Linked DNA regions of Danio rerio. The protein of the gene in region 1 binds, or shares a complex with, the protein of each later gene. Links are inferred from orthologs where the notes say so. Each region holds a gene or a part of one and is shown on either strand. Other genes may lie near its edges. The genes, in order: wdr48b and usp46.

Region 1 (3,835 bases):
AAAGAACTTCATAAATGTTCAGAGATTATATTCCATACCCCCATTCATTTTTCTTTCTCAACTCTATACTTAGGTCTCAATTATCCTATGCTAAAAGAAAAATCTGATGAAAAAAATGATGAAAGTTTTGCTGAAAGCCTGTAACAAAGCCATAACAGAATAATGGTTACAGCTCAAAGCAACTCAAATTAGTGACTGGTCTGAAATAACTTGTGATATCTATAAGATGTGGAGGCTAACAATGAATCACCATTTACAGACTGTGGAGCTTAATGAGACATGGAGAAAATGGGTAGAATATATTCTCCCGTTAAGGCCAGACTTGCTATAGAATGTACAATAGTCAGAGAGATGTGCATTTTCTTTGTTTATTTTATGTATTATTTTTTTGGAAGAAAAATAATGAAAACAACAATACCTATTTAAAAATAAACAAATAAAAGTTACTATTTAAGGTGCTATAAGTACCATCCTCACAGTTTCATATGTATATAGTTTATGAAAAAAGAAAAAAAAGTGCTGATCGAGTGTAACAATATGGGTTTAAAAAAAATACACAATTGATTTGTAATTGAAAAGCAATAAATCAATTTGTTCATCAGTTTTCATTTGGATGGCATACAACACAATTAGGAGTGTATTGTTTTGATTGCTCTTATAATGTCCTTGAGTCAATAATGTAATTTCCGTATTTATTTATGCATGGAATTTTTTTATTTTTATAGTATTTTATATTTTCTTTTATTTTTTACAATTTCTGGATACCTATGATGAGACATCGCTATTGCATGTGTCTATGTGTGTGCGTGAATGTCTGTACTTTCTGTAGATGTGTGTAACGTGTGCATGGGACTTTCTTTTTCTTTTTTGCTCGGATTAAGTTATTTTCTGTAATATATCATGACACTGCTGACAGAAGAATAAAGCACAAGATGTGGGATGAGACCTGTGTGAGCCTTGATTTATTTTTCTGCTGCTACACGAGTTAGGTGAGCTCTCCTGTATTTTTTTAACTCAGCATGTTACACGACGTCTTTCACATATATGCGAAATATGCAGGTGTAAGTAATATAAATCATCCACATATCTTTTGCGACTTCATTATCTTAGATGTAAAACACATGGAAAAGCTGCCTAAAGAGAAACAATGCAAATTTGCGCGCACACACATAGAGAGGTGCTGCACGTGCTGGTAAAGTGTGTGTGTGTGTGTGTGTGTGTGTGTGTGTGTGTGTGTGTGTGTGTGTGTGTGTGTGTGTGTGTGTGTTTATAGCAGTTTGACTGATAAATATGAATTTGTAGCCAAATCGTTTCGGTTTCAGCATTTCCCATTGTTTACATCGTTGCTACAGCATACCGTTACCGCTATACACTGAACATGTCATGATCAATTTTAACAAATAAAATCACTTACAGGTTGTAGTTCACAGTTTCTGCTTTGAGGAGATTTTAACCAAATCCAGCACTGAACTGGGAGAGATTCTGGAAGCTGTGTTTTGTCAAATCATGCTTGCTATGTGTTTTATAATTTTCTGGAACATAATTAATATTGAACTGTAAGTACTTCTGTCTGTGTGTCGTCTCCTTTGGAAGACCAAATACAGAAACAGACGAAGCTCTGTGGAAACAGTAGCGCTGGGATGCATTTTAGCTCTCTTTGCTATAACATTACAGCGCCTCTGGCCACGGCCCTTACCTGGCGCAGTGTTTGTGCGTGGTAAAAGTATGTTTGTAATCTTACAGGTGGCGAAGTATTTTTTTGTAGTCCCCAAAATTTGTTCATAGTAGGCTTTACTAAGCTAACTCTGTAAAAACCAAGGTCTCCCTTTGCATTGAACTTTGAGCTTTTTACATTCAGAGATGCAGTTTATGTTCACACAGATACATTACACATCAACTAAAGTTTAAAATAGGACATCGTAGTGGACCACCCCTTTAAGCATGTACAATTATTCTTTAGTTAGTTTAAATGATGCAAAATATCTTTATATAATATACACAAATCCTTTGATTCTCTAAATTTATGCCACATTTATACTAATTTGCTCAATTCCTTTTTTCTTAAGCTTATTCAATTGTCTTGATAAACAGTCTTATTTAGTTAAAATATAATTATTCTGTAAAATATATTTGTATAACAAAAACCACAATTATTCTGCTTCTCTGAATTGATTTATTTACATTATTTAAACAGGTAGCAGTAAATTAAATTATCTAAAAGTAAAATAGTAACCTCTTACATAAATTTTTCAAATGGAAAAGTCATTTAATTACATTAACTAGTTACGTTGTGACCAATTACACCAACACTAGATAGTGCACTCACTACAGAGCAAATGGGTTTTTTCAGAATCTTCTGTTTCTTCTCACTCAACGTATAATAAGTAGGATGGTGTCAACAGTGATGATTTAGCATTTACTCACTGGTGACTGTATTATTGGAGGCGGTCAGAGCTGTCAGTGTGTTCACATCCCACAGAAAGATCTGCCTGTCCAGCCCAGCTGATGCCACCAGTTCCTTGTCCTTTGCATATGCTAAAGCTTTGACATAGTCCTACAGCATAAATCACAACCACATCACCAGGTTAGACATATGATGATAATAAATAATTCAATATATCGTGACAATGAACATGCACAATATTGAAATTGTGGGCACTTCAAAATATTGTGAATAAAAATTTGTTATTTAAACTTTTAGACTGCCTTGTCAACAATATTTTACATGTATACTTGGATTCTGTGTAATGTGCAAGTAATCCAAGAATATATATCTACAGGGTTGGCCATTTATATTGATACACCTTAATAAAATGGGAATGGTTGGTGACATAATGTCCTGTTCTTGGCACATTAGTATATGTGAAGGGGCAAACTTTTCAGAATGGGTGGTGACCATGGTGGCCATTTTGAAGTCGCCATCTTGGATCCAACTTTTGTTTTTTCAATAGGAAGAGGGTCATTTTGACACATCAAGCGTATTGGAAATTTCACAAGAAAAGCAATGTAATCGATATCGCAATGTGGACATCTGCAATTGTCACATCGCAGGACCTGCAATATTGTAGCGGGATTATAGATGACCAGGAACCACAGTTGATTGTGTTCGTGTGATTGTGTAAGCATTTAAAGCATTTTAAAGCATTCATGCGCAATAAATAATGTTTGTAACTTTGAGAAAGGTTAACTGTATTGAAGTATATATACACACAATGAAGACAACACTGCTACTTTACATTTCATTATTCAATTTGTGTACCTGAATACTGCTAGACTCCCAGAAAATCTGTGTCAATGTTTTTATTTATATCTTTGCTCGGCTGTTTTTATCAATGCTTATGATTGGTTTATTATATTTAATGCATATGCACTTATCATCCTAATCAATGTAAAATGATGTAAATTTTTTCCCCAAATAGAGCTATGGACCATTTTCACAAGCCTGTTAAGACACATTTAACGATCATCAGCAGCTTAAATTCTTAAAAGTTTTTAATATTTAGATTTTTTTAAACCTATAAACATTTCTATGTATTTAAGTATGTAGTATATTATCTTTGCTACAAATGACAAAAAAACATCTATAGGGGCAGGACAGTAAATTTGATGTTATTCTCTCTTCTGGCTGCCGTCATCAGTCTCACACTATTTTTTTCCTTTTTCTGAAAGTCTTTATAACATCATCGTGGAATTTTTCTTTTAGTTATTTGAGCAAATAAGATTGTAAAAAAAATTTTTTGTTGTACTCTCCCATTCACTAAGCTCTGTTTTCCCAACTAAGACAACTTTCACAACTGAGAAACCTGGAAATGTGAAAAGTGTCTATTCATTTCAT
Region 2 (4,434 bases), on another chromosome or scaffold:
AAACATTCATACACACTCTTTCACACATACACTACGGCCAATTTAGCTTATTCATTCAATGCACATGTCCCGCATGACTTTGGACTGTGGGGGAAACAAGAGCAAACTGGAGGAATCCCACGCAAACACGGGGAGAACATGCAAACTCATAGAAGTGCCAACTGAGCCAGCTAGGGTTGTGAGGCGATTGTGCTACCCATTGTGCCACCGTACCGAACCAGACATATTCAGATGAATTGTGGTTTCTTTTACAGTATATTACGTGTTTGAGGGACCCAGTAACTGCTCATTTGACCAGTAGCACTTTTTTGACAATTCAAAATTAAGAACAATATACAAAAGCCAGGGGATGACGACAACGAAAGGAAAAAATATATAAAAACATGTAAATGTTTGCATTCATTAATACTTAACAGATTTTTTTGTTTGTCAGATAAACAGCTTAAAGTCTGATTTTAAAATAAGAAATAATGGCTTTTGTATACTGACTTTTACCAACAGAAGTGATAAATTGATCAATAAATATTCTTTGTATAGTGATCTATTGAATGTAAAAAAAAGTTTAAAAAAAACATTTTAAAATAAAGTTGAAAGCTGGACATAACGTTGATTCTAATAAAAAACAGAAATCCATCAAAAAGTAACTACATATGGCAAGCCATTTTGACATTTAATCAATAGCCTGTTCTAGTATTTATTTTTATGTTACTACTACTAGTACTTATTTTTTTAGATACTAGTATCTTTTCCATTAAATACTAGTGCTTATTTATAGGTATTAGTGCCTATTCTTTAGATACTAAGTGTTTTATTGCTTTTAAAAATATACTAGTGCTTAATTATTAGACACTTTTTTTTTTAATTAGATATTAGTACTCATTTATCATAGATATATATACACTAGATATCGCATACCCTGAGTATGCGTCAATAGCGCCGCCACATTTGTACAGTGCTCCCAGGACAGAAGTGGTCAAGACAGTGTGCCAATGTGAAGATGCTGGACTTTAGCGCTGTGTACGGGTGTAGTAACGAGCAAACAAAGAAAACAAAGCACTAAGGCAAAACATTTAATACGTAAGATTTAGTTTTTTACATTTTTATGTTATGAACTTTTGTGGTTAACAAATATTGATGATGATAATACTCTCTTATCTTATTATAGTCTCTTACTACATTCACCATAGGGCAAAGGAGCACCAACTCACACTAAATACTAGGCTTATGCTAGTTTTGTTGAATAAAATAAGCAAACAATGTTATGAAATATGACAACAAGTTGCTGCAGTGCCAGAAACTTGTATTATTGTCAGCCAAGGGAACGAGTCGTTCATAACGGAATCCCATAAACGAATTACTCCCTCCGTTAGAATGAGAAGTGAAAGCATGAGGGGGTGTGTTTCAGGACGCGGAATAGACCAAATTAAACAAGGAGAGAGAATAATACATTTCCATGCACACAAACATATACTCTTTGTCGGCAATGCCGAAAATGCAGTGGAAAAAAGATGTAAAATTAAATTTTTGTAATTAAAAAAAAAAATATTTGCATACTGACAACCGGAAAAACTCCCGATCAGAGATATACGTGTATATATCTCTGGCTTTGGATGGCCACAGTCCTTCACTGCATCTTGGTCCCGCATTCATTTCATTTCCTGTACTAAAATGGCGGCTCTGCTGATGCATTCCTTCTAATAGACAACAGCAGGGTAGGCAACATCTAATGTATATATCTATACTCTCATTCATTAGATACTAGGTACCTATTAAATAGATACTAATTCTTATTTATTAGATACTAATACTTATTTTAATAGTGACTAGTAACCATATATACTAGGTATAAGTATATATTACTTAAGTACTAGTAGATAATAAATAGATACTATTGTTTATTAATTGGGTACTAGTATTTAATTAATGAGTACTAGTACCTAATGATTACCTTCTAGTACATAAAAAAAATATATGTACTAGTCCCAGCTGGAATACACACTAGTCAAAACTGAATAGTCGATATCTCAATGACATATCCTATAGAAATCAATGGGAAAAAAAAGTTACTAGTAACAACAGAATAGTTACTAGTCACTATTAAAATAAGTACTAGTATCTAATTAATAAGTGTCTAATAAGAAAGAACTAGTATCTATTTAATAGGTATTAGTATCTAATGAATAAGTACTAGTATCTAATACATCCTATCTATTTAAGTACTAGGACCTAATGAATAAAAACTAGTATCTAATGAATAAGTACTAGTAAATTTACAAAAGACAATAGTAGCTAAAGAAAAAGTACTAGTATCTAAATAATAGGCACCACTAGTGTCCAACAAATAAGCACTAGTATAATGAATAAGCACTACTATTTAATGGAAAAGATCCTACTGTAGTATCTACAAAGTAAGTACTATTAACATAAAAATAAATACTAGTACGGGCTGTTGAATAAATGTCAAAACGGCTTGCTATAATGGGCAACTCCAAAACAAATGTTAAAATGTTTCTGTATGTAGACCAACCTGCAGCACTGTTTAATATTCGTATACATTCAAAATGACGTCAGAATCAAAAACGACTAGACAATGAATACGCTATTTACATGTTAGAAAATACGGAGTATATAGAAAGAGCTACTGCAACAAAAAAGTACAGATATTTTTCACTGAGATTGCTTGATTGTTTAAAATGACAAGATTCACACTACATATACTATCACAAAACAAAGCGGAATCACTGACTGTAAAACTCATTTTAGGCAGTTAAGCTTTCAGTCACAGTTTATTACATGAGCAAGCAAACACGTCTAGTTATGATAGCTGCATTTACTTGAGAAGTGATCCAAGCATGCATCAGCTCATAAATGAGGTCATGCACCTGATTTTGAGGAAAGCCATTCAACCATCATCATTACGTAAGAGCTAGCCAGCATGCTATCCAAACACTTCTACTTACCATATTACAAATGGAGGCGATGTTTCTGACAGTCATTTAGTTTATAAGGTGCCTCTCGTTGCCATCTTTATGAAATAAACATGATTGTAACAGCGGAACACTGACAGGCCAAGCTGCAATCCCAACGGAGGACAGCAATCAGTGACCACTCAATTCCCGCCGCTCATGCAAAGTGCAAACAAAGCGTGAGATAAACGTCGGCGGCTTTCATCTAGATGTTTTCTTCATGGCCACTGCAAATGAGAATAAAAATGCTGGATAAACTTATTGTAAACATCTTTGCCAGTTGCACGTCCTAAACGAAACATTCACATCCTGGATTAGCGGTCAAACCCCGCCCATTGAGTCCCGATTGGTGCGTTTGGGGAGTACGACACGAAACGCTGGTCAGTTGATGGACAGGTCAACTGACCAATGAATGGTGAGAACATCAGTTGATAAATTCGCTGTGGCCAGTAGAATTTGGATTTGATAGATAAAGGGGTTAAATCAAGTAACAACCATTTCCACTTACAAGCCCCTAAGAATGCACATATAATGCAGATATAAAGTAAATTTATTTTTACTTTTCTGACAAAATGTATGACAATAGGTCTGTTTTCACAAAATATTGATCTTAATTTTTATCTAGTTTAAACAACACTGCCTCGTGTGCTGTGCAGCCATGCAAAATAGCGTGTGTGATTCTACTGAGTCGATTCTTTTCTCAAAACCGGTCAGAACGTTTTGTTTGCTGATCAGTCTGAATCATCAGAGTGAATCAGATCAGATTGACTCCCCAAATCATCTGAAGAGGCGAAATGAATTTAGAGGCGGTCCCCTTAAAAGTCCCAGAATTCCTCGCACCGGTCACACGTGTTCTTTCTTTTCCGTTTGCACAATCCCTGAGAGCAGGCACAGAAAACATGAGCGGAGGCAAAATTACCTCTGGTGAGATTAAATACTCAGATTAATGCACATATGTATTGTATTTTTTAATTAGTTAAATAGACTCTATGTTTTATTTTACTCCTGTATTTGCAACTTGGACTATAAATGTTTTAATTATTTAACCTGAACAGTTATAGTGGGCTTTCTAGAAGTGTTTAAGGCTTGGTAAATATTTTTATAATAAATATCTTTTAAATAATGAAGCAATGCATTTATTAAGTCACGTTAAGGTTAGTATTAAACACTAGTAACTTTTTAATTATTAAAAGGCCACGTGTTCTCTACACAGCACGTGGTGAGTTAGCGGTCTACTTGCTAATGTTTAGCCTAATGTTAAACTTATTTTTACAGACTGGCCATCTGAGCCCCCTGACTGAAGAGGAAATCACCAATTACTACAATGTCTGAAATATAAAGGTAAGGAAGTGTTTTTTTATATATAAATATATATATTTAATATCTAAAAGGAAGAGTTTTAGCTCTGTGATGGTTCTAAGGTGTTTGTTCACCCTTGCACAAATCTAAAACAAAGCATGAAATCCAC

The links.
Region 2: the proteins of wdr48b (region 1) and usp46 are in contact, whole or in part, in a crystal structure (PDB 6JLQ), measured with the Homo sapiens proteins. The link is inferred for Danio rerio from reciprocal best matches to the Homo sapiens genes WDR48 and USP46. Residues at the interface, in NP_065890.1 of Homo sapiens: Arg50, Trp77, Asp118, Tyr119, Lys121, Leu137, Arg139, Ser170, Tyr172, Thr188, Asp211, Asn212, Lys214, Ser230, Gly254, Trp256, Arg272, Ile364, Leu424, Lys425, Gly521; in NP_073743.2 of Homo sapiens: Arg181, Leu183, Asn184, Cys185, Glu186, Thr187, Cys222, Ser223, Glu224, Lys226, Cys232, Cys233, Ser234, Lys235, Gln236, Glu237, Gln239.

Annotation. Positions count from the first base shown.
Region 1 is NC_133177.1:53,176,171-53,180,005, reverse strand, and holds part of wdr48b (WD repeat-containing protein 48), read right to left. Parts: intron 2,555-3,835; coding exon 2,425-2,554; intron 1-2,424. UniProt on the Homo sapiens protein: Regulator of deubiquitinating complexes, which acts as a strong activator of USP1, USP12 and USP46. Enhances the USP1-mediated deubiquitination of FANCD2; USP1 being almost inactive by itself.
Region 2 is NC_133195.1:25,683,248-25,687,681, reverse strand, and holds the start of usp46 (ubiquitin carboxyl-terminal hydrolase 46), read right to left. Parts: upstream 3,023-4,434; 5' UTR 2,997-3,022; coding exon 2,961-2,996; intron 1-2,960. UniProt on the Homo sapiens protein: Deubiquitinating enzyme that plays a role in behavior, possibly by regulating GABA action. May act by mediating the deubiquitination of GAD1/GAD67.